Caenorhabditis elegans: one gene and its partner. The protein of the gene in region 1 interacts with the protein of each later gene in a pairwise test. Each region holds a gene or a part of one and is shown on either strand. Other genes may lie near its edges. The genes, in order: egl-15 and ced-2.

Region 1 (13,368 bases):
CCAATGCAAAGAGTTTCGAGAATGGGAAGTATTCGAAAAGCAATGACAATAAGCTTTCAGGTTAATTTAATTTTAAAAGGTGACAATGTGAAAAAAAATCATATTTTAAGAATAGCCTACGGAGAACTCGAAAAATATTTGGAATTGGCGTTGCACCGGTTACTGAATATTTACCAAAATCTGAACAAGATGTTCATATTCAAAGATTCAACAGAAACGAATCTGTACGACTTGTGAGTTTTCGTTCTAAGAATATTAAAATTTCACTTTGACAACAATAATTGCAAATTTCAGAGTCGATGCTCCACGAAGCATTACGAAGTTATAAAAACACACTCCGAAGATAAAATCTTCACAAGCGTAAGGCCTATTCCTCCGTCTAGTACGTGTCTGTTAACCAAGTACGAAAATTTACATAATCATATTTTGAAAATCAATATAGAAACTTTATTTTTCAGATTCTTTCCCCGAATCGAAAAACCTCCAAATCAGAAAAAGACACTTCTTTCCAGTTTTGAACGTAAAAGGAGGTAACTTTCAAAAGACATCCAACTGTTGTCTAATGATTTTTTAAAAGGTACCATCAAACGTTTGGTGCAGATCATCACGCCAAAGAACAACTTTTCTGTCCACTTCAAGCTTCTCAAGTCGAGTTTGCATTCAAAACACAAGTGAAATCCGATATAGTGATTAAAGTACAAGCTCCAAATGGTGAATCCAGTGGATACATATATCCCAACAATATTGCATACACCAGTTTTACACCATCAAATGTGAGCTACCGCTTAGAAAATGAGTTTTTGTAGTGTGAACAAAGCTGACTTTAGAAGCTGACCCATATTACATACCTATTATTAAAATTATGTTTTAAATTATTCAAATAATAATTAGAGTTGTGAAACAGTGAAATTTAATGAAATACATTTTGTGTTGTAAAAACATGTGTTTCAATAAGTTTTTCGAAATATGCAAAAAAACTTCAATCAATCGACAGAATTAAAAAAAATTTTGCATTGTTTTTTTTTTAACTTTCCAACTCAAATTTTAATTTATTGCGTTTAGTGAAGATTTGTTTCAAGATTAAAACTATACCACGTATCGCAAATAAAAACTGTTATTAATTTAAAATGCGTGTAGGCACATAATTACCTGCTTGTGCGAAATAATCAATTTTACATGATTTAAAAATTTTCGATTTGCTACTTTATAATTCATAAATAACACATCAACGATTGACGTTTTTTAGCACATACACTATTATAAACAAATTATGCTTGATACCGTTTTAGATTGGGTGTGGTCATGGTAAATGGCTAGTTCATGTGGCTATTCGAAAAGGATGCAAATTTCATCATGGATATACACGGCAGTTCAATCTTATTGGTCAAGGTATTTGGTTTATTAAACATTCGTGTTGCAATTCTGTATTTAGGAGTTCTGTTCTTCCAAGTTGATATGGCTGGTACATTACGGGACGACGGAAAATTGTGGCTTGACTGCCTGAATTAACAGTTGCCACACATATCGTTTAATGATAATTGTAAGCTTTATTGTATCCATTTCATTGTTTTCATTCAATTTTAGATTGCTTTAATAAATAGAAGAGATTTACGGCGTTAAATCATTTGTTACTTGTTTTGTCCTCCTCGTGACATTGAATGAGGTGGTGCCGTTCCACTGCGCGTGATATATGATACGCAGCCAATTCTCGGTAGACCCGCTTACTTCTTCGACCTTTCGCATTTAATTGCATTCTGATATCTATTTTCATATTGACCACATGTTGTTCACCTGCACACTGTCAAAATGACTCATTTACAATAACTTTTCGCGTTCGAGATTTATAAAGGAATGCAACACAAACAGGTGCGCGTAAATAAAGAAAAACCGAAATTGAATTAGCTTTTGCATCTAAATATGTCGCCTACAATTATCCCGTGTTCTATCATTTTTGGCGACTGACTGCCTTATGCGCAATGCCCAATCACTAACCCCTTTTCTTTTTAACGCATCTCTTTTCTCATCATTGTCCATTCTCGTTTATCTCTCCTTCTTTTTCTAATTCCCTTGATTTTCTCTCACTTTCTGATTGCATTTTTCTATATTGATTAGCCTGTAGACACATACCAAATACTCCAAAAAATAAGACCCACAGCAACAAAAAACCGACGCCTATGTTGTCGGTTACCGTCTCATGATTGTAATGCCCCCTTCTCTTTTTCTTATCACTCTTTTCTAATGGAATTCTTGGGGGCAACAAACTGGTTTAATGACAAAATTGAAACAAGAAATCCATTCACCTACCTGTTAAAATTGAGTAAATGATGTGACATTTGAATTAATTAGACTCGCAACTAACCATCTCGTATCCGCGATAAGCATCTCTTGGAATGTTGGTCACACCCTGTTGTGCAACTATTAAGTTTTGAAATTACAATTTTATAATACATAACTTCTACAAAAAAGTGCCTAGAAATCGCACAGATTAAATTACACTTCAATAATCAAAAAGCTGGTTTATAACTAAATGTTCTAATCATTAATCACAACCTAAGTTTTTTATGAACATTTTCTTTTTATTTTTTTAGGAATATTTAGATAGAATGTTTCACTAAAGAAGTATCTCATTATTTTGAAAACTAGCCTTATAATCTCAAATTTGATCTAATTTAAACTATTTTATATGCAATGTATGACGTTGGTTTTGAAAAGTTACCATAGCGTTATTACGCTTACATCAGCTGCTAAAATTTGTTTTTATTATACATAACGAGTTTTTATAAAACCTCAAATTGCTCTAAAAAAATTACATAACTCTATAACATAGCCGTGATCATTGAAAAGATAGACCCACTTTATTCGCTATATCATACTGCAAGACTAGCAATAAAAAGTTACATTGTGTCCGGAAATGTTGAAAGGTTTTTGTTTCCGTAACATATGCACTGCATCCGGAAGAAACACCTCCAGATGTGACTTCTTATTCAAGGTTTTGCTTCGATATCAATCGAAACGGCATTGTGTCATTCCACCTTGTCGGCGAAGACAACGAATCCACAACATCTTAACATCTGGACGTCTTTCGTCGTCTCAATTTGACGCTCGTTCACTTTTTACTCTTTTTATTATCGCCCTCCGCTCGCTGCTCGTTTTTTTTTTCTATGAGCAACATATGCGTAAATTTAGACGGTTCTAATTATGATTTGCTTTAGTTTCTTGATTGTTCCCAGAGATCATTAGACCTTATGACCCAGAGGGTCGGAACTTTTGAAAACGTTGCGCGGGTGTCGCCAATTTGTTACATATGGTGGTGGGGTATGGAGCCAGTAATATATAACCCATGGCTCGCGCAGAGGTACCAGTAAGAACCCAACAAATAAATCTTTGTACCGGTCTGATTCACCTCTCTCACATGTATTCAATTTCAAAAGTTTCACAGCTTCTCCTTCTGAGTGTTTTAATATTTTGATTATTAGTAGATAAATAGTAGATACAAAAGATTGCAGAAATTCGAATGTTTGCCTGATACATATCATCATGAGTTATTTCCTTGCATCCTGCCTCGGTGTGGGCTTACTTTCTACAGTTTCTTGTTCTCTTCAAGGATTGACCAGTCATTACAGAGGTAAGAGAGTTGTCACAAAATCTAATTTATTTTCATATTATTCGATTTTACAGAAAATATTCCCCGTTTCAAGCATGTAGCAAACGAAAGATACGAAGTATTTCTTGGAGATGAGGTTTGGTGGAACAAATATTTAACAGCAATAGATGTACACAGTTTTAGATAAAATTTGACTGTCAAACCGCGGCGTCAAAGATTTCTGCCTTTGTCGAATGGTATCGTAATGACAAGTTACTCAAAAATGATCAAATAGATAAAGACAAAATTCGGAAAGATAATAACAGGATGATGCTTCACTTGAAGAATATTGATGTTTCAGATCAGGTATATGATTTTTTATTATTTTTGTGGTTTTTTTTTTGTTGAACAATGTGGTTAGAACACCAAGTATCGCATTTCTCCTATTAGAATTGCATGCATTTCTATTTTTTTAATTGACAATTTAGAGTGCAAAGACTGATAGGAATTCAAGACTAACATACACTATGAAACTGTATTTCGATGTCTCGTTTCAAATTTGGTTTTTCTTGTTTTTAACCTAAAATACTGGAGTTACCTAAAATACCGTAAAGAAACAATACAACATGATAATTAAAATGATTTAATGTTTGAAAAATGTTTGGAATTATTAAAAAAAAACATTTAACCAATAAAAAATATCTTGTAGATGCTAAAGTTTGTGTGATATCTCTTGCGCGTGTTTAGTTCTGCAAGAATAATATGAAAGAAAATAGGAAAAAAAACTATAACCGACTACCATGAGTTTTAAGCATCATCAAAAATATATATTAATTCAAAAATACCAACAAACTGAGAACTTTTTTCAGCAGTTTTTGACTCTGTCAACTTAAAAAAAAACGTTTATTTAAAAACGTTTAAAAACGTTTAAAAACTAATATTTTTGCAGGGTCTTTGGTCTTGCCGCGTACACAACGCATATGGACAAATATCACGAAATTTTACAGTTGAAGTTATTGGTAAGTATCTCTATTGCTCGATTCTTTGCAGTGCAAGCATAATTTCTTCCATGCATGGTGTGCTTTGTTTTCAGACTTTTGTGATTACTTCCTGTTTCCCGATATTCATCATTTGAACATTCCGATGGAATGTGTTTGTTTATGGAAATACAACAAAGAAGCAAAACGATCTGATGTGAACTATGCAGCGGTAACAGGAGAAGTCTGCTCAAAGTACGCATCTCGCATGATAAATAGAGCACGAAAACCGTTGCCAATGATTCCTTGCTTTGGTGATCACTGCAAAGAATTTGACACTACTCCTGTTTCGGATTTTGGTTTACCTGGGAAACCCGAGGACGATCCTTTAGTAAAGCGTGTTGTTTTGAAAAAAGATGATGTGATTGTGCCCGTGCATGACTCTGAAGAAAGTCCATCCGAATCCAGTAAGTTATTTCAGATCCACTTAAACTGTTCGATTGGCTCACTGAGCATCGAGTATTCGATATTAGTCATTTATTGCCAAAATTGCTACCTCCTGCGGAAATGAGGAGAGTGAAAAGCCAATTGGGCGGATGGGAGAAGATGAATAATGAACAGAAAATTGTTCGAGCCAGGCACATTCTGAGATTAAGACAGATCAATCATGCTTTGGGTAGGCTACATCAGTGGTTGAATTATTTTAAATGCTTCATTTTCTTCTTATATATCTCAGTAAACTTGTTTTTAGGAACCGAATTTATCAATGCTGATGAAAAAGAAAACAAAGAAGACGAAGAAGAAGACTATAGTGTTTCACAACCGGTTGCTCCAGATGCGGGGCTCACTGAGCTGAATATTACTGCGGAAGAGCCACCATATTTCAAGTCAAACGACAACATTGTATTGTTTAATGAAACGCATGCTCTACCAGCAGGACGAACATTGAAACTTAATTGTCGCGCAAAAGGATACCCTGAGCCACAGGTACGATTCATGAAAAACTTGAAATTTTTCACGTAAAGAAACATTGGATTTTCAATCAATGCATTTGATCACAGATTATCTGGTACAAAAACGGCAAAATGTTGAAGAAAAGTAGTGCTCGGTCCGGCGGATACGAATTCAAGTTCAATAGATGGTCTTTAGAAGTGGAAGATGCTGTCGTAGCAGATTCTGGGGAGTTTCATTGTGAAGCATTGAACAAAGTTGGAAGTGCAAAAAAGTATTTCCATGTGATCATAGTCAACAGAATGAGAAGACCGCCCATTATCGTTCCGAATATTTTGGCTAATCAATCAGTAAGATTTTGCCTCACGGCATCTATAGTTTCAATGTTTTATATTTAGGTAAATATTAATGACACTGCCACATTCCACTGCAAAGTTGTCTCTGACTTATTGCCTCATATTATTTGGGTACGCATCAACAAAATCAATGGGTCGTATAGCTACTACAACAATTCAGCTGAAGAGTATATGTTCAATTACACAGAGATGGACACTTTTGATGTATGTTATGAAACATGTTCTCATCTATCAAAAAGTGTCGTTTCAGAAAGCGCACGTCCATCACGTTGGTGATGAATCGACGCTTACTATTTTCAATGTGTCGCTGGATGATCAGGGAATATATGCTTGTCTCAGTGGAAACTCACTGGGGATGGTAAGAAATTGATTGAACCTTCTAGTTGAACAAATTAAGAGTTTTACAGTCGATGGCGAATGCCACTTTAACGGTGAATGAGTTTATGGCCATACATTTGCTCACTGGTGACGAACCGAAGATAGATAGATGGACAACATCCGATTATATATTTACAACAATTCTGCTTTTCTTACTGCTTGCTGCAACATTATTTGGAATTTTGTTTATGGTGTGCAAACAAACACTACACAAAAAAGGATTCATGGATGATACTGTTGGATTAGTGGCAAGAAAAAAAAGAGTCGTAGTTAGCAAAAGGCCAATGAATGAAGATAATGAGAATTCGGATGATGAGCCATCACCTTATCAAATTCAAATAATAGAGACTCCAATTACAAAGAAAGAAGCAGCGAGAAAACAAAGAAAACGTATGAATTCAGAAAACACTGTTCTTTCGGAATACGAGGTTGATTCGGATCCAGTTTGGGAAGTTGAAAGATCAAAGTGGGTCAAATCTTTAATACATTCAGCCAGACAAGAATTCAATTTAAACATTAAATTTCAACGTTTAGATTGAGTTTGGTTCACATGCTTGGCGAGGGAGCATTTGGAGAAGTTTGGAAAGCAACATACAAAGAAACAGAAAACAATGTAATTTTGGGAAAACAAAAAAACAAGAAAATCTGAAATTTTAATTGCGTTTCAGGAAATCGCAGTTGCTGTCAAAAAATTGAAAATGTCAGCTCACGAAAAAGAGCTCATTGACTTGGTCAGTGAAATGGAAACATTCAAAGTTATAGGAGAACATGAGAACGTGTTGCGATTGATTGGATGCTGTACAGGCGCTGGTCCGCTTTATGTCGTTGTTGAGCTGTGCAAGCATGGGAATTTGCGCGATTTCTTGAGAGCACATAGACCTAAGGAAGAGAAGGCAAAAAAGTCCAGCCAAGAATTGACGGATTATTTGGAACCACGAAAAGCATCTGATAAGGATGACATTGTGAGTGGCTTATGTTTTGAATAAAATATGATTTTTTCCACTGACAAAATTTGAAATACTCATCAAACTTTGAAAATCTTGTAGAAAAGCGTTTTCCTGATTGCTCATTATCAGTAAACCTGTCTTAGTCAGTTTTAAATTTACCAGAGTAATTTTGCTGAAATTTTCATTTTTAGGAGCTCATACCAAATTTGACACAACGCCATCTTGTACAATTTGCTTGGCAAGTGGCTCAAGGAATGAACTTCTTGGCATCAAAGAAGATCATACATCGTGATTTGGCAGCAAGAAATGTTCTCGTCGGTGATGGACACGTTCTGAAAATATCGGATTTTGGACTATCGAGAGATGTGCACTGTAACGATTATTATAGGTTGTAACATTATTCCTAATGATATATTACTGATGATATATTACTTCCAGAAAACGTGGAAACGGCAGACTTCCCATTAAATGGATGGCTTTAGAAGCGTTGGACTCAAATGTATACACCGTGGAAAGTGATGTGTGAGTAATGGTTTTCTGTGGTAGAAAAGTTTCGTGGAGGTCCTTTCCAGGTTCACGTTTGAAAAAAATTGATTTTTCAATATAATCACATATGTCTTATTTGTCTTTTCACACAAGTTAATCATCCTGAGTCAACCTGAGCATCTGAATCGGGATAGCTGTATATTTATTTTACTTATTTTGGGTTTTTAGGATACAACGTTTTAGGATTTTAATTTAGGGAAAAACATTAAACATAAATATATTTGTGATATGTCTGAATTGAAGTTGTTTCCCGCCTGTGGAAAAATAGTTATAAAAAACTATTGAACGACAATTTAATTTAACAAAAAATATATTATTCAAATTTGAATATCAAAAAAAAAAAATACTATTGCTTCCAAAACTATCACTCTGTGAACAATGCATTCACCATTTTTCTTGGCACGCTTTTATTTCAGTTTTCCATTTACATTTTTTGGGGCAATTTTAGGGCACGACAGTGGTTGTGTACCAAAATTAATACTATAATGACTCATTGATACTTTTGTAGATGGTCATATGGAGTTCTCCTTTGGGAAATCATGACACTTGGTGGAACTCCCTATCCAACGATTGCCATGCCTGAACTCTATGCTAACCTCAAAGAAGGATACAGGTGAAAATATTGAGAAAAACATGCAAATCTCACCTGTCTGACATGTTTTTGCAGAATGGAGCCACCACATTTATGTCCCCAAGAAGTCTACCATTTGATGTGCAGCTGCTGGAGAGAAAAATTGGAAGAACGACCATCTTTTAAAACAATCGTAGATTATTTGGATTGGATGTTAACAATGACAAATGAGACTATTGAGGGATCACAAGAATTTAATGTAAGGTCATACATCTGTGACAACATTTTTGAGGATATTTTCCAGGATCAATTTTTCTCCGAAAGATCCACGGCATCAGGTCCAGTTTCTCCTATGGAGTCATTCCAGAAAAAGAGAAAACATCGCCCTCTTTCAGCTCCAGTGAATCTTCCATCAGAGGTAGATCAAAACGTAATTTCGTACATAACGTATTTAAATTTTAAAAGAATTTAACCTATGAATTCGGAATCCATAAAGCACTGTTTTTGCAGCCACAACACACAATTTGCGACGACTATGAGTCCAATTTTTCTGTAGAACCACCCAATGATCCGAATCATCTCTACTGCAATGACAATATGCTGAAAAATCACATTATTACACCGGAAACCTCTCAACGTATTCCATCAAACAACAATAGCATGAGCAAACCCGAATTTTGACCGTTTTTAGTGTACATCCACAAAGTGCTCAACGAACCAATCGGAAACGGGTATGTTCGACAAGATAAATTAGCTCGTGCCGTCAGCGGTGTTGCCAACCAATCTCTCGACTCTGCCCTCGGTTCACCAGCTTGGCCTTCGTACGACCGTCCCTCTAACAAAGCTTCTTGTTTAGGTTCGTTTTCAGTTCGCTACTGACATTTAAGTTCAGGGCAACGATTTCAATGAATTTATAGATGATGAGAAGCATCACTACTATTACTCATAGTAGTCTCTCCGCCGTTATCAGATGTCATTTAAAAGTCCATTGTGGTAATCATGTTTCCGTGTTGTGTGTTTTTGTCCTGTAACATTTTTGTTTGGTGTAATGGGTTGCAGAACATCAAATCACATAAGTTAGCTTACAGATTTGCCTCCGTCAAGTGTCCAGACTAACATGACACTTATAAATGTTGTGCTATGTAACCTTTAAAGTTTCATTTGCAGATCAAACTCACCAGTATTATAATACAACGTCTAAAATTCAATATCTTCATTTTACCTTCGATGATCCAGATTGTATGACTAGGCAAGTATCGAAACAAATTTTAATAATTAGTAAACAAACTTGCTAGATAAAAACAGCCAATAGAGTTTTTTTATTGTTTAAAAACTTTACATTAAAATAAAACCTGAAATTTAAGTTGATAAATATGATACAGTCACACTTACTATTAGTTCAAAAATGTTGATCTTTCAAAATCTCGAATTCAACTAGAACTTGAATAATTTTTCACACATTAATTCCATCACAATTAGTTCTAAACCTAAAAATTAAAAAGCTAACGTTTTAATTTCTAAAAGAGAAGAAACACTTCAAAATGTTTATCTTTAGAACTTGTACGTGTAGGAGCGGCCCAATTATCACCCTCTTTTGCATAATTTTAGGAAAATTATTGTTTACCAGTTACTGAAACAGTTCTTAAATGATCATAGAAAAGCGTAAAAATTAACCAAAATCCGAAATAAAATGTGTCAATAAAAACAATTATAAAACTGAAGTTGTTCTTTTACTTTTAGATCAAGAGATTCTGCAATATTCGAGGAATCATATCATCCTAACTATATCCAGTCACATCCACTCTACTCGAAAATCATAATCAAAAAGAACATGTGAGTGCCAATTCTGGCATGAAAACACTACTACAGAGTTCAGCGAACTTCTTCTTTTCAGGACGCCTCGCAACCCGTTGCCGACAAAGGAAACTATTGTCTAACTTCGTTTTTGACTACTTTTTTCGTCCTCTTTTCTTTGTTTGCTGCTTGCTATGATCTAGTCATTTTTGACCAGATTTCTGCTTTACTTTTCCTTCTCCACACTTATGCTCAGTTTTCATTCATGTTTAAATTGATACACTTAATAATTGTTTTTACAGAGCGTTTGTTTTTTGTTGTCTATAATGTTTTTATTTTATGTGCGCTTTGAAATTCAATTGAAAAATTCACAATAAAACATATAGTCTTGAATAAAACTAATTGTGTTACAGAATTTTAATAGTTGTTGAGTATATAATCTTATAGCAATGCAAAACTTCGAACGCAGCAGGTGCTCATGCTGAAATCTAAATTAAATTGAAACAGAAACCTCCGATACCTGCAATAGAATTTACATGTCTTTTATGAATAAGACAGGATTACTTAGTAACCGCTTTTTATTTAATTTTACACTAAAAAAACATGTTTTTTCTGCTAGTTCTATGATATATTCGAAGAAGTATTGTTCAATATTTAGAACCATTGTTTCGAAAGGTGCTATCAACTTACGCTGCCTTTGAAGTGTAGAAGTTTTGTCAGAGGTTCACAAGCAGACTTATTATTATTCATTTCCAGGAATAAGCAATATTTTGATCAAAATGTTCGCTGTTTATGTCAATTTAATATGCTCACGACCAAAGTACAAGTTCCCGATAGACCATCCTTTCAGGTGAATCTAACATTTAAAAATTTTGCGAGACATTTGCTTTGAAAATTAAATGAGATATAAAAATCTTTAAAAGCCAGGTACTGTTGTTCTGTTCGAGAAAACTATCACAAAAAGATGACTGGCTCATAACTTTGATACGAATAGCAGTTCAAATATGTCACTGTTTTTCTTGTTTGAGTATTCATATGGTGAACAAAAAAGAACAGTTATTTTTTGCATTTGCTAGATTTTACCCAATATCAATTCTATTATGATATCAGAACAGAGAAAACTCAGAGAACACATTCCAGAGACATACTACGCATATGGCCGGAGGGCCATGTGTACCCATTTTCCTCCTTGACACACACACACACATACACACACGTATCTTCTGCTCAACGAAAAAACCGCGAAGAGAGGGGCGGATATGCACGGCCTAATTCAAATCGACTACCGTCGTCTCCTCCAACTGCATTGATTGACTGACCTCTGTTGATGAGAGCGGGGAGACACCTCAAATCCTCTTATTTTGTTTTTTTTGTTTTGTTTCTTGTTTTTTACCTTCATCAATTAACTTTTCGGTAACCTACCACGACATAACAGTATCCCATTTGAACATTTTTTGAAAGAGATAGTTTTTGGAACTGGTTCAGAAACTGTCTTGTATGGCTCGTTCTTACAAATTTTCTCAATCAAATTCACGTTTTTTGCAGACTACAAAGTCTTTTGTCATCCTCATCACAATGGGTTTTCTTCCAATACGCTATTTTCTCACGTTTATTCATTATTCATCCACTGAGCGGGGAATATTAGGAAGAGACACTTTTGTCTCAAATTCCTGTTTCCACAAAAAAGAAAAAGAGCAGCACCAGCACTGAATGCCAGATGCCAAAACTGCCAAAACCTTTCGACCCGCTTCCTCCGCTCTTGAACCCTTTTCCTCCATCTTTTTTCCTGAAATTTCAAAAAAAAAAAAACGAAAAGAAAAGACGAGCCACCACAACCACTAGAACCACCCAAGCCACTTGCTCTTTCCTTTTTTCGTTTCCATATGTAAACGAGTAGTGTCTCAACTCTTTCCTCTCTTCAATATCTATCTCAATCTCATTCCATCTCTCTTTACCACCCAGATGTGTATGTGGTTGTGTGTATGTATGCTCTAATAACTCGCGCGTCGGCGGTCCGTCCCATTTTCTGCGGGTTCCACTCAAACAGTGCATGAGTGACCTTTTGTTGATGAGAAATGGTGGGAATGGTAAGCCTGAGCAGCAAACGCACGTTACTCACCATTCTTCACATTTTGGTTCAGATACTTCTCAATTCTTTGTAGTGATCTAAATTAGTTTTTTTCTTTAACAAAACTAGATTTGATTGATTTATTTATTTTCTGCAATGTTTGTTTCTAAATTTGAAAACTCTTCAATTTTGAAAGTAAAATCAGTTTTGGTCAAATAACAATTAATATCAGCGTCTAATGTTTTAAGCAAAATCATTTAACAAATCTGTTGTCACTGAAACATCACATTTTATCAATGCCCCACAATTAACCTGTTTCTTTTAATTAATTGCTCTGGCGTCCGTTTCTAAACTACCTCATCAACAAAACCAAATGGGAATGATCGCGCGAAAACTATTTTACACTATGGTTTTGGTCTTTCTGTTTTAGACTATTCCATTTTTCGATGAATACGACCGCGTAGCAATTCGCTTTTTGGCATGCTTTTTTTTAATTTCAAGTTGGTTTGTAAACAAAATATCAACTATTGAATTTGTATTACATCATTTTTATTCTATTCAGTCTAGTCGAAAAATGATTTGATATATTTTTATTCTATATGTAAGCTTAACCCACATCCTTTCCTGATATTAATCCATGTTTCCATTTTTCTATACATTTGAAAAATCTCGAATGACTAGTCAGTGCACTTTTTTTTTTGGTTTCCTGCTCTGCTTCAGGTTACCCGCACTGCTCAGATTTGGCGATCCCAGAGCAATTACCGGAGCCAGTCATATTTTTACATGTCACGAAACACATATGCACAACAAGCGCTCTCCACCTTGTGCCCCCGTAATAATTACACCCCCTCCTTCGATTTCTCTTTTTATATTCGGGCTTCTCGAGGAAAAAGTCTTATAGAAAGTCATTCCTGGCACTAGGTTTTTTTGATTGATAGTGCGCTTTTTTTAAATATTAAATGATTCTAACAACTTTCACATTCTTCAATAATTCACAGCGGTATGTCACGTCACGCTCGAATTGGTTAGTTAAGTTATAAGCGATAAAATGCAAAACTGCTCTTTTTTGAGTATAAAATGTCTCAATTTGACATCAAATTCTTCAAATTCATTATACTATGTTTTAATTGCTCGATATTTTTGAATTCACTTGCATTTGTCACATTGAAATTTGATCATTGTTTATTCAAACAAGCA
Region 2 (12,258 bases), on another chromosome or scaffold:
TCTGGGCAAAAATTGTAAAATTTTCGGCCGAAACCCAGGAAACTGAGCGATTTTTTCAAATTCACTTTTTTTGAAGCTCCAATCAATTTTAGAGCAGAATTTCAAGACTATAAAAAGTTAAAGGTGGGGTACCGAAATTTGAGACTTTCCTTTTTTTAGACACAAAATGGCCCAAAACTACCAAATTTCGTAAAGAGACGTTCTGAAAATTTTTCAAAAAAAAAGTTATGGCCGCTCAAAGTTTTGGAAAAAACGGCCTATTTTTAGCTAAAATCTCAAATTTTGGCAACTTATCGGTGTTGCAGCGGTTAGAACTTAATTAATTTTTATTTGATTGGCATCCTTTAATGCACGTTTTGGCATTTTATTACGTGTAATTTCGTTGGCAGAGATGTTTTTTGGCCAATAGGGACGCATATATGATACAATTTTGCGTCCTCATTGGCCAAAAAACCATCTCAATCAACGAAATAACAAGTAATAAAATGCCAAAAAATGCATTGAAAGATGACGATCAAATAAAAATTAAGATCCCCAACCGCTGCGACTCCGAGAAGTTGCCGAAATTCGGGGCTTTAACTAAAAATATGCCATTTTTTCGAAAACTTTGAGCGGCCATAACTTTTTTTTTGAAAAATTTTCAGAACGTCTCATTACGAAATTTGGTAGTTTTGGATTATTTTGGGTCTAAAAAAAGGAAAGTCTCAAATTTCGGTACTCCACCTTTAACTTTTTATAGTCTTGAAATTCTGCTCTAAAATTGATTGGAGCTTCAAAAAAAGTGAATTTGAAAAAATCGCTCAGTTTCCTGGGTTTCGGCCGAAAATTTTACAATTTTTGCCCAGAAAGCTCGAAAATATCTAATTTTTAATGGTTTTTTTTAAAGTAAAAAACTTTCGACGAGAGCATTGGTTTAAAAACTAGATACAACTTTTTTACTCTTTTTTTTTACTCTTGTTTGTTAAATCCCGATTTTTCCAAATTTTCGGCTAAAAAACGAACTCTTTCATTAGGTGTTCCACTATTATTAAACATAGCCATCGTAGACTGCGGGCCCGTCGACACTGAAAAGTACAATCGAACTCCTTTGGCAGTAGTTGCAACTAGGTTAAGCGCAGCCGATTGTGAAGCTTCCAACGCCTTAATCGATGTAATACTGTGAAAAGATGTCTCATCGTGACCGAATTGCGTCAGAATATGAGCTTCATGTGCAATTTTCGAGATGGGAACACTCAAAAATTTGGCACAAGCTGCTCCATCCGCTCCGAGATCCCAGACACTGACGGTGCCGGCTCGGCCGAGCAAATACATGATATTTCGGGATTTATCGATTGTAATCTGATCGAGGGGCTCTTTTGAAGAGCCGAAGAATGGTAGAGAGATCAGTGTTCCGAGAATTGATGCAGTTTGATTTACACCTCGACACTTGTGATTTGTGGAGCCAAACCATCCGTTTTGTTTCTCGTAGACGAATTCGAAGAGTTGATCGTCGGCTGTATAGAATACTCGACCATTTGAAGTATACGAAATATCATTCACTGTTGCTCCGTCAAGGGCTATCTGAAAAAAAAAATTGGGGATTTTCTAGAGAAATTGCTGAAAAAGCTCAATTTTTGGAGTGTTTTCCAATGTAAAATTGCGATGAAATTCATATAAAAATTGACGATTTGGGGATTTTTATGATAATTTTGGCTTGAAATGGGTTTCGTTTTCAGAAAATATATTTAAAAAAAATAAAGAGTATCGTCTAAAACTAGTGATATTTTCAAAATTTTCGCTCATTTCAGAACAATTTTGGCTTAAAATTGAGCTTTTTAATGGGGATTTGCCAGATACAACATAAAAATTTGACGATTTTCTAGAGAAATTGCTGAAAATGGAAGATTTTTCTGGAAATTATGTGAAAAAATAAAATTTGAGCTCAATTTTAGAAAAAAAATAGACTTAAAAGGAGCGTTTTTATGTACTGGAATTATAGTAAAGTGCTGGAAATTTCAGATTTTTAAGGAAAATTTTGGCTTAAAATGAGCTTTTTTTTCAGAAAAATTAATGAAAAATTGAAGATTTCCGCAAAAAACTGTGTTTATTTTCAAAATTTTAAATTTTTTAGAAAAAAATTTGGCTTGAAAATACCGTTTTTGTGTTATATTGAAGTTTCTCGTCGAAAATTACTGTTATTTTCGAAATTTTAGCTCATTTTTGAAAAATTCTCGCAAAAAAAATTGAGCTTTTTAATGGAAATTTGCGATTTTCTAGAGAAATTGTTGAAAAGCTCAATTTTTGGGAAAATTTAGGCTTAAAATGAGCTTTTTTTATCGGAAAATAAATGAAAAATTGGAGATTTTCGCATAAAACAACACATATTTTCGAAAATTCGGCTTGAAATGAGCGTTTTCAACGACAAATTGTTCTAAAAAAAACGAATAAAAATTGAAGATTATCGAAATCCCCAATTTTTGGTTTGAAATGAGCATTTTTGATGTAAAATTGCTTTGAAGACTCAAAAAATTAGTCAGAAACTCGGATTTTCAAGTTTTCGAGTAGAAAAAAAAACAGAAAAGCGTTATCAGCAAATTTGAGCTAGAAATAGACGAAAAATCCCGTTGTTTAAATTTTTTTTGTCGATTTTTAAGTAAAAATCGCACGGAACATCGATTTTCCCGTGTTTTGAAGACTCAAAATCTCCAAACTTTTGCGATTTTTGATTCAAAAACTTGGGTTTTCTTGGTAATTCTTCCTTCTTTTTTCTCCATTTTCACTCGAATTTCGAACCTTGAAGCATCGTTTTGAGTCGATAGAAATGCTACTGGCGCCATTTTCCACGAAATCAAAGACCGGATAAAGACATATATCGGAAATTGTGCCGACAACGAGCCCATATTGAATTTCCGGCTCAAAAACGCCTGGCTTGATGTTCACCAGCGACACCTTCAGAATTGCAGCGTCTGATGAGTCGAAAAACGCCAAATCGTCGCTGAAAATTCGATTTTTTTTCGGTATTTTTCGGCTTTTCCGCTTACTTTGTCTCGTAATTCCACATATAGAGATTGTTATCAATGACGACCCAAACTCGGCTGATTTGTGTGAAGAATCCCATGCTAAACTCGCTGTGAATATCTGAAAATTCACCAATTTTTCGCTGAAAAACCCCCCCATCGGAAACAATGCTCTCTCACTGCTCATTTGCATTTGAAGCTCTCCGGGTATTGGGATTCGCCGTGTGCTCACAAACTCCGGCGCTCCCTTCACATAAAACTTCTCGCCGAGACCGGAGACGGGCGTCGTGCCGTGTTGTGTGAGGCGATCGAAGAAATCCGATGTCTCCATCATCTGCTCGACGTGGTGTGCCACCTTGTTCGCCGCCGCTTCTGCCGAGTCGGCCGAGCCCAACTCCATAAACGAGACACTCATCTCGGAGGATGGAAAGCTGCTGAAAAAGTCGGAAAATTTTGAGTGATTTTTGATATTTTAACCTTTAAACTTGAAAATTATAGCAAAAAACTGTAAAAAACCCGGAAAACTTCCCGCAAAACGCAACTTTTCGCGCAAAATTCCGAATTCAAATTGCAATGCGGCGCGGAAAAGTGGGCGGGGTCGCGTGTTGCAAGTCCCCCGCACACCTCATCGTGTACTCCTCTCGGACAAGCGCAACAGCTGACAATTTATTTTTGCGTGCAAAAAAAGTCGTTTGTTTGCAATTTCTCACCAGTTTTCGGAGATTTTCTTGATTTTTTGCGGTTGCGCATCGTAAAATACGTATTTAAAATGTGTAAACTTTGGCTCCAGTCGACAAGAAGCTTATGAGTCATTGCCTGGGAAAATTGCTCATCAATTTCCTCATTTTTACGAATAATTGGTGTTTCAATGCGTATAAAAACAAGAAATCGGTAAATTTAGTATGAAATATATTCGAAAATAAAGGTTTTAAGCGTATTTTTCAATTTTCTTCTACTAAAAACCGAACTTTAGCCTAAAAACCTGCTTATTCTGCTCGAAATTCTCGATTTCGCCATGTTTTCCAATTTTTTAACACAGTTTTTCAAAAAAATTCTTCATTTTTCCCATAATTTAGCCGAAAAACTCAACTATTTTGCCCTCTTTTTCCCTAAAACTCGCCATTTCCTACCAAAATTTGAAAATTTTCACTGTGTCCAATCGATTTTTCTTCCTAAAAGTACCATTTTCTCCAATGTTCATTTATTTTTCAGAAATTTTCACTAGAATTACTAGATTTTCTGTGCCAAAACCACGATTTTCAGCAATTTCTTTCTTTAAAATCTTATTTTTTGCCATTTTAAGGTACTTTTCCAACGAAATTCCTGATTTTTTGATTTTTCCACGCAAGTTTTGGCCGATTTTTAACTGATTTTCAGCATTTTTTCAGCCAAAAAAACATCCATTTTTGTTCATTTCCTGAATTTTTTAAATGGAAATTCCTTGATTTTCTTGGAAAATCACGCTAATTATTATTCAATTTCCAACTTTTTCATCCAATTTTCTGCCTATATTGACTCGTTTTCCTTTAAAAAATCGAATTTTCACCCGTTTTTTCACATTTTCAGCAATGTTTAGGTTGAAAATCATATTTTTATTCATTTTAAAATATTTTTTCCCACGAAATTCTTGATTTTTTTTTTGAAGATTTTTGCGTTTTCTTCTCAAAGATGGTGATTTTTGGCCGATTTTCATAAATTTTCGCTCTCAAAAACAAGATTTTAAGCATTTTTCAGCCGAAAAAACTTTCCCCTTTTATATAATTTTTCTTGATTTTTCGTCTTTTTTTTCTGGATTTTTAGGAATTTCTCGTGATTTTTGATGATTTTCCGTCTATTTGGGTTACGTTTTCCAGAAAATTTTCCCAACTTTGACCAATTTTGCGCGCCTAAAAATTCCACGTTTCTAAACAATTTCCCGCATTTTCAGAAATGACGACAAACGGGTTCGATCCATTCGAGTGGCGTTCATTCTACTTCCCAGGAATGAGCCGTGAAGAGGCTCACAAGTTGCTCGGCGAGCCACAAGTATCGATCGGCACCTTCCTAATGCGGGATAGCTCACGCCCCGGTGAATATTCACTGACAGTACGTGAAGCCGACGAGGGAAATGCCGTTTGTCATTATTTGATTGAAAGAGGAGAACCGAAAGAAGATGGAACTGCTGCAGCTGGCGTGAAAATCGCGAATCAGTCGTTTCCAGACATTCCGGCGTTGTTGAATCATTTTAAAATGCGAGTTTTGACTGAGGCAAGCCTGCTGGCCGCCTACAAGAAGCCTATCATTGAGGTTGTCGTCGGAACATTCAAATTCACAGGGGAACGAGAGACAGATCTTCCGTTTGAGCAAGGAGAGCGGCTCGAGATTCTTTGTGAGCTTTAAAGCAGCACTTTTTTGATTAAAGGTGGACTAAACCCTGTGGGGAACTTGCTTTATTGAAATTTAAATTTGCCCATCGAAAACGTCAAAAATTAACTAAAAATCTCAATTTTTCGGCGATTTTAATTGAGAAATGGCTTGAGAAAGTGGTAAAATTTGGCAAAACTTGGTTTTTAATAGTTTTTTTTTTGCATTTGGCTTCAATTTCCCCGAATTTTCAGATTTTTTAATCGAAAAAGTGCTCTTAAAGCTCACAAAGAATCTCGAGCCGCTAAATCAGTGGATTTTTCGGGGATTTCACGAGAAAATTGACATTTCTAGTAGTTTAAATGGCATTTTCCGAACCTTTGTTCTTTCTTCTCTAAGAAGTGCTCGAGATTCCAGAAATTGATTTTTTTTCCAGAAAAAACGTTATAATTGTGAGGAAATCGACATTTTTTCTTGCATTTGGCACTATTTTCTCCGAATTTTTAGATTTTTTAAAGGCGGACCCAGTGGGGAAATTGCTTTAAAACACGCCTATGGGGCCACAATGACAGAATATCATGATTAAAAAATTCAAAAAAATTTCCCTGATTTTATATGATTTTTTGAAAATTGAAAAAAAATCTCAGTTTTCACCTAATTATTTTTGAATTTCCGCCAATTGGATTTTTTCAATGGAGCGCGCTTGCATTATTTTCATTAATTTTCAAAATTTTATTTCTTCTCATTATTGGACTGATTTTCTTCATTTTTTGGAGTTTTTCATCGGAAAATGGAAGAGAAATAAACAAGAAAAATGCAAATTGTTTGTTAAAAATTAACTGAAATTTTCTAAAACTGTGATTTCTTGAGTTCTGACAACGACAAGCCTGAAATTAGTATATTTTACAGTTTTACGCATTTTCAGTTACTTTTAAAAAATCATTTTGCATTTTTCTTGTTGTTTTCTTCGATTTTCCGATGAAAAACCACAAAAAATGAAGAAAATCAGTCCAATAATGAGAAGAAATAGAATTAATTAATGAAAATAATGCAAGCGCGCTCCAACGAACGAGTTCAATTGGCGGAAATTCAAATAGGAATTAGGTGAAAACTGAGATTTTTTCAATTTTCAAAAAATCATTTAAAATCATAAAAAAAAATTTTGAATTTTTTAATCATGATATTCTGTCATTGTGACCCCATAGGCGTGTTTTAAAGCAATTTCCCCACTGAGCGTAGTCCACCTTTAAATAATCTAAAAATACGGAGAAAATAGTGCCAAATGCAAGAAAAAATGTCGATTTCCTCACAATTATAACGTTTTTTTCTGGAAAAAAAATCAATTTCTGGAATCTCGAGCACTTCTTAGAGAAGAAAGACCAAAGGTTCGGAAAATGCCATTTAAACTACGAGAAATGAGTTTTCTCGTGAAATCCCCGAAAATCCACTGATTTAGCGGCTCGAGATTCTTTGTGAGCTTTAAGAGCACTTTTTCGATTAAAAAATCTGAAAATTCGGGGAAATTGAAGCCAAATGCAAAAAAAAAACTATTAAAAACCAAGTTTTGCCAAATTTTACCACTTTCTCAAGCCATTTCTCAATTAAAATCGCCGAAAAATCGAGATTTTTAGTTAATTTTTGACGTTTTCGATGGGCAAATTTAAATTTCCGATTGTTACCATGTTAGTGAGAAAATGAGCAATTTTCAGTAAATTTCCACCCATTTTCTCCTGTTTTTATTGGAAAATGGTAAATTTTGACTGTTTTTCAAGAAAACCAGAAACTTTTGGTAAATTTCCACATTTTTTTAATCCAAAAAGCCGCAAAAATGTTAAAAATTTACGTTTTTCAATGGAAAAATGCGATTTTCTACAAAATTCGCCTAATTTTAACCCGGTTTAGTAGAAAAATGCGAAATTCAGTGCATTATGACTATTTTCCTAATGAAAACAAGAAATTTCAGTCATTTTTACTATTTTCAACTGGAAAATGGAAAGTTTCTGCGAATTTCGACTGTTTTTCACGAAAAAACAACAAAATTCGATCAATTTTGCCATTTTTTCACGAAAAAAACTTTTATTTTATGAAAAAATTCAAAAACCCGGACTCATCGTTGTGAGACCCTGTCCACCCACCCCACTGCGCCTTTAAACTTGTGTCGATTTACGCGGTGTTTTTTTTTGGAGAAACTCTATTTTCGGACGAATTTAAACTGTTTTTAAGGCAATTTTTCACTTAAAACCGCAAAATTATCTGAAAAATAAAATTATAAACGAATTTTATAATGGAAATACGAAATTTTACCTGTAAAAACCATAAAATTTGAAAAAAAAACCGTGTTTTTTGATTTTCTCCCGTTTTTCTCAAGATTTTGTGCATTTTCCAAGTTTTTTTCGGTAATTTTCCTCGAAAATACTAGATTTTTAATAATTTTTTTTTTCCAGCAAAAACGAACCAGGATTGGTGGGAGGCGAGAAACGCGTTGGGAACCACTGGATTAGTGCCGGCAAACTATGTACAAATTCAGATGGAATTTCACAATGACAGAACCTCAAAAGGCGCCAGTCAATCGTCGATCGGAAGCAGCGGAGGTGGCGCCGAACGATTTTCGAGCGCCAGCACGAGCAGTGATAATATTGAGCTCCAGGTGTGGAAAATTGCCGGAAAAATCCACAAATTTCAGATTTTTTGCTGAAAAATTGCGTTTTTTAGTCAATTTTTGACATTTTTCGATGGGAAAATTTCGAATTTCGAGACGATTTTCCTTGTAAATTACAGAATTTTAATGGGAAAGTTGGATCTGAAATTTCTCTTTAAAAATTTGCTCAATTTTTACCGTTTTTAGTGAAAATTCGGTCATATTTTGAAATTTTCACTGAAAAAAAAATGGAAATTTCAGTCAATTTTTAACATTTCTAGTGGAAAAATCGAAAATTTCCTAATATTTCGACCATATTCCAAGAATAAACGAAGCATTTCAGGCAACTTTGACATTTTTTCACGGAAAACACCAATTTTTAGATTTTTCTATTGGAAAATGCGAAATTTCAGTCAATTTCCATCTTTCTAATGAATATTCAATGATTTTTTATTAATTCTAGTTGGAAAATGTCAAATTTCAGTGAATTTCGGCTGTTTTTGTCAAAAAAAAACGAATAATTTCGATCAATTTTGACCTTTTTACTTAAAAAAACTTTTTTTTTTTCTCAAAAAATTTAAAAATCCGGCTCATCGCTGCGAGACCCTTCCACCAACCCTACTGCGCCTTTAAACTTGTGTCGATTTACGCGGTGTTTTTTTTCGGAGAAACTCTATTTTCAGGCCGTTTTCAAGTTATTTTCCACCTAAAATCTGCAAAATTAACTGAAAAATGAAATTATTAACGATTTTTATCATGAAAAACATCTCCTAAACCGAAAAAAAAATTCAATATTTCAGCCCCGTCTGCCAGCAAAAGCCAAAGTGACGTTCGATCGTGTCCCAAACGCCTACGATCCGACCCAATTGCGTGTGAAAAAGGGGCAAACAGTGCTTGTAACTCAGAAAATGTCCAACGGAATGTACAAAGCGGAACTCGACGGCCAAATTGGCTCGGTGCCTCATACATACCTCAGATTCACCGCCGTCAGCGAATAAAATCGTTTTTTTTTTCTAAATTTTTAACCTTGAAATTTATTGATTCGCTTGCCCCTCCACCAGTTTTCCTCTAATACATTACAGCTTTACCATAGAAAAAAATCGTTTTTTTTTCCAAATTATATTTATAATGATATCATGCACAATTTTCGTTGCCTTTTCCGCCCACCGAACCCCAATTCGTGTCCATTCCATTTTGTTCACTTTTCCCTTTCAACCTGCCGGATGATTAATAAACCGTTTTAATTATGATTTTTTCGAATTTTTGTTGGAAAATGAGGTGCTATAGAGCCTCTGAGAGTACTTTTTAAGAAAAAAATGTCATAATTTTGGAGTTTTTTTCAAAGTTTTGAAAATTTACTTGAAGATTTCCAGCAAATTGCAAAAAAATCCGATTTTTCGACGTATTTTGGTGAATTTTCGGCCTTTTTTTTTCGAATTTTCTCTGAAATTGCAATAAATTCTGGTTTTTCAGGCTAAAAAACGGTCAATTTTTTCTATTTTCAACTGGAAAATGGAAAGTTTCTCTGAACTTCGACTGTTTTTCACGAAAAAACAACAAATTTTGATCAAATTTGCCATTTTTTCACGAAAAAAACTTTTATTTTATGAAAAATTCAAATACCCCGGGCCATCGTTGCGAGACCCTTTCACTCTCCATACTGCGCCTTTAAACTTGTGTCGATTTACGCGGTGTTTTTTTTTTGGAGAAACTCTGTTTTCTGTCGAATTTAAACCTTTTTCAAGCTATTTTTCACTTAAAAACGGGAAAATTAACTGAAAAATTAAATTATAAACGATTTTTAACGGTTTAGTGCAGTTTTTTAAAATAAAATTTCAGAAAATTTAGATTTTAAAGCCACATTATCGAATTTTGCCGATTTTTTCTCAGATTTCTATTGAAAACCCGCCGTTTCCTCTTAAAGCTGAAAGATTTTCCCCAAATTTGAACCATTTTCTCGCAGATTTCGCCTAGAAATTCGAATTTTTGGGGCAAAAAATATAATTTTCCGAATTTCGTCTGAGATCCCGCCTAGAAATGTGAAAAATTTGATTTTTTTTTTTGGATTTCAGTAGAAAAATGTTAAAAACTGGATTTTCTCCCGAATTTCGATAATTTTGTTACAGATTCCGCCTAAAAATGTGATAAATTCCGAATTTTTTCACTAAAATTCTTAATTTTTTAGAAATTCAGATAATTTATAGTTTTTTTTTCAGAGTTTTGAACAATTTTCTTCAAGATTTCCATTCAATTGCAAGAAAAAAATCCGATTTTGTATGAAAAAATCACAAAAAAAATTTGAAAGCTCGGCGTATTTTTCTCGATTTTTCTTTGAAATTGCTATAAATTCTTGTGAATTTTTTAGTTAAAAACGGTTTTTGTGAAAAAAAAAACCAACATTTTTTCGCAGATTTCGCCTAGAAATTCGAATTTTTGAGGCAAAAAAAATTACAATTTTCCGAATTTCGTCTGAGATTCCGCCTAAAAATGCGAAAAAATCCGGATTTTTTTCGTGGAAAAATGTTGAAAAATGGATTTTCTCTCGAATTTCGACAATTTTCTGATAGTTTTTTGTTTTTCCGCCTAAAAACTTACAAAAATTTCAAATTTCAGATAATGAATTATGAGAAAATTGATAGCACAATTCCCGGGCCAGGAATCTCTGAAACCGACTGGAATGACGTATTCGAAGGATGTAACTGCGAGGCTGAGTGCTCTTCAGCCGCCGGTTGCTCGTGTCTAATCAATAAAATCGATAATTACACTGTCGATGGAAAAATCAATAAATCATCGGAGCTTCTAATCGAGTGCTCCGATCAATGTGCCTGCATACTGCTCCCAACTTCATGTAGGAATCGAGTTGTGCAATGTGGACCACAGAAAAAGCTGGAAATTTTCAGCACTTGTGAGATGGCAAAAGGATTCGGAGTTCGAGCCGGCGAGCAGATAGCCGCCGGCGAATTTGTGTGCGAATACGCTGGGGAATGTATTGGCGAGCAAGAAGTTGAACGGAGATGTCGAGAATTCCGAGGAGACGATAATTATACGCTTACGTTGAAGGAGTTTTTCGGTGGAAAACCCGTGAAAACGTTCGTAGACCCGCGCCTACGTGGAAATATCGGACGGTTTTTAAATCATAGCTGTGAGCCGAATTGTGAGATTATTTTGGCTCGCCTTGGCAGAATGATTCCCGCGGCGGGGATTTTTGCGAAACGGTGATTTTTTTAAGCCGTTGGTGACGTATTCACTGCAACTTTTTCCTCACGAGGGATGAGGAAAAGTGGTTTCTAGGCCATGGCCGAGGGGCCGACAAGTTTCAGCGGCCATTTATCTTGCTTTGTTTTCCGCCTGTTTTCTTTTGTTTTTCACAGCTTTTTCCCGTTTTTTCTTATTAAAACTGATAAATAAATATTTTTTGCAGATGCTAAAAGAATTTCCAAGTGAAAAAATTATGTATTCAGTGGGCAAGCAGCGGTGAAAGTGGTCAATGCAATATGATGGATTACGGGAATACTAAACCCAAACTTTTTCTGAAACAGGATACATATGTTGCTTAAATGCTGAAATTACCTGATTTTCATAACGAGACCGCTGAAAAAGTTTTGAGGTTTTCAAAATTCAACTTTTTGTGCGAAAATCTCTACTTTTTTACCAAAAAAGTTGAATTTTGGAAACCTCAAAACTTTTTCAGCGGTCTCGATATGAAAATCAGGTAGCTTCAGCATCTAAGCAGCATATGTATCATGTTTCAGAAAAAGTTTAGGTTTTGTATTCCCGTAATCCATCATATTGCATTGCCCACTTTCACCGCTGCTTGCCCACTGAATACATGATTTTTTTACTTGGAAATTGTTTTAGCATCTGCAAAAAATATTTATTTATCAGTTTTATTAAGAAAAAACGAAAAAAATCGATGAAAAACAAAAGAAAACAGGCGGAAAACAAAGCAAGATAAATGGCCGCTGAAACTTGTCGGCCCCTCGGCCATGGCCTAGAAACCACTTTTCCTCGTCCCTCGTGAGGAAAAAGTTGCAGTGCCGTTGTTGACGTATTTTTAGAGTTTTTTAGGGAAAATTTCGGGAAAAAAACCTCGAAAAAGACACAATTTTTACGGAATGTATTATTCCTTATTCGGTTTTTTTGTTTGAAACAGGTATTTTTTGTAAATCTTCCGGAAAAGTTTTTCAAAAACCTTCAAAAATACGTTTTTTTAGAAATTCTATGTCATTTCATTCATTTTTTGGATAAAATTTCAGTTTTTCAAAAAAAATTCAAAAAAAA

What was found.
Region 2: the proteins of egl-15 (region 1) and ced-2 interact in a two-hybrid assay, tested with the Caenorhabditis elegans proteins (one study listed by BioGRID).

The regions. Positions count from the first base shown.
Region 1 is NC_003284.9:11,012,904-11,026,271, forward strand, and holds egl-15 (receptor protein-tyrosine kinase), read left to right. Parts: upstream 1-3,496; 5' UTR 3,497-3,537; coding exon 3,538-3,625; intron 3,626-3,678; coding exon 3,679-3,740; intron 3,741-3,787; coding exon 3,788-3,949; intron 3,950-4,532; coding exon 4,533-4,602; intron 4,603-4,676; coding exon 4,677-5,027; intron 5,028-5,041; coding exon of another isoform or gene 5,042-5,236; intron 5,237-5,311; coding exon 5,312-5,547; intron 5,548-5,621; coding exon 5,622-5,861; intron 5,862-5,909; coding exon 5,910-6,071; intron 6,072-6,117; coding exon 6,118-6,225; intron 6,226-6,274; coding exon 6,275-6,711; intron 6,712-6,779; coding exon 6,780-6,858; intron 6,859-6,913; coding exon 6,914-7,207; intron 7,208-7,383; coding exon 7,384-7,580; intron 7,581-7,630; coding exon 7,631-7,714; intron 7,715-8,246; coding exon 8,247-8,351; intron 8,352-8,405; coding exon 8,406-8,568; intron 8,569-8,613; coding exon 8,614-8,727; intron 8,728-8,819; coding exon 8,820-8,946; coding exon of another isoform or gene 8,947-8,990; and 13 more. Other genes in the region: F58A3.3 (RHDF1), read left to right, coding at 1-60, 111-233, 295-401, 459-530, 578-773, 1,290-1,389, 1,433-1,509. UniProt on the Caenorhabditis elegans protein: Receptor tyrosine kinase required for larval development. May phosphorylate adapter protein soc-1 which in turn may result in the recruitment and/or activation of phosphatase ptp-2.
Region 2 is NC_003282.8:1,592,395-1,604,652, forward strand, and holds ced-2 (Cell death abnormality protein 2), read left to right. Parts: upstream 1-4,923; 5' UTR 4,924-4,925; coding exon 4,926-5,364; intron 5,365-7,783; coding exon 7,784-7,986; intron 7,987-8,777; coding exon 8,778-8,975; 3' UTR 8,976-9,227; downstream 9,228-12,258. Other genes in the region: npp-8 (Nucleoporin_N domain-containing protein), read right to left, coding at 1,003-1,560, 2,773-2,974, 3,021-3,117, 3,177-3,411; putative histone-lysine N-methyltransferase set-23, read left to right, coding at 10,594-11,192. UniProt on the Caenorhabditis elegans protein: Required for cell migration and engulfment of cell corpses but not for programmed cell death/apoptosis. Has a role in the migration of the 2 gonadal distal tip cells (DTCs).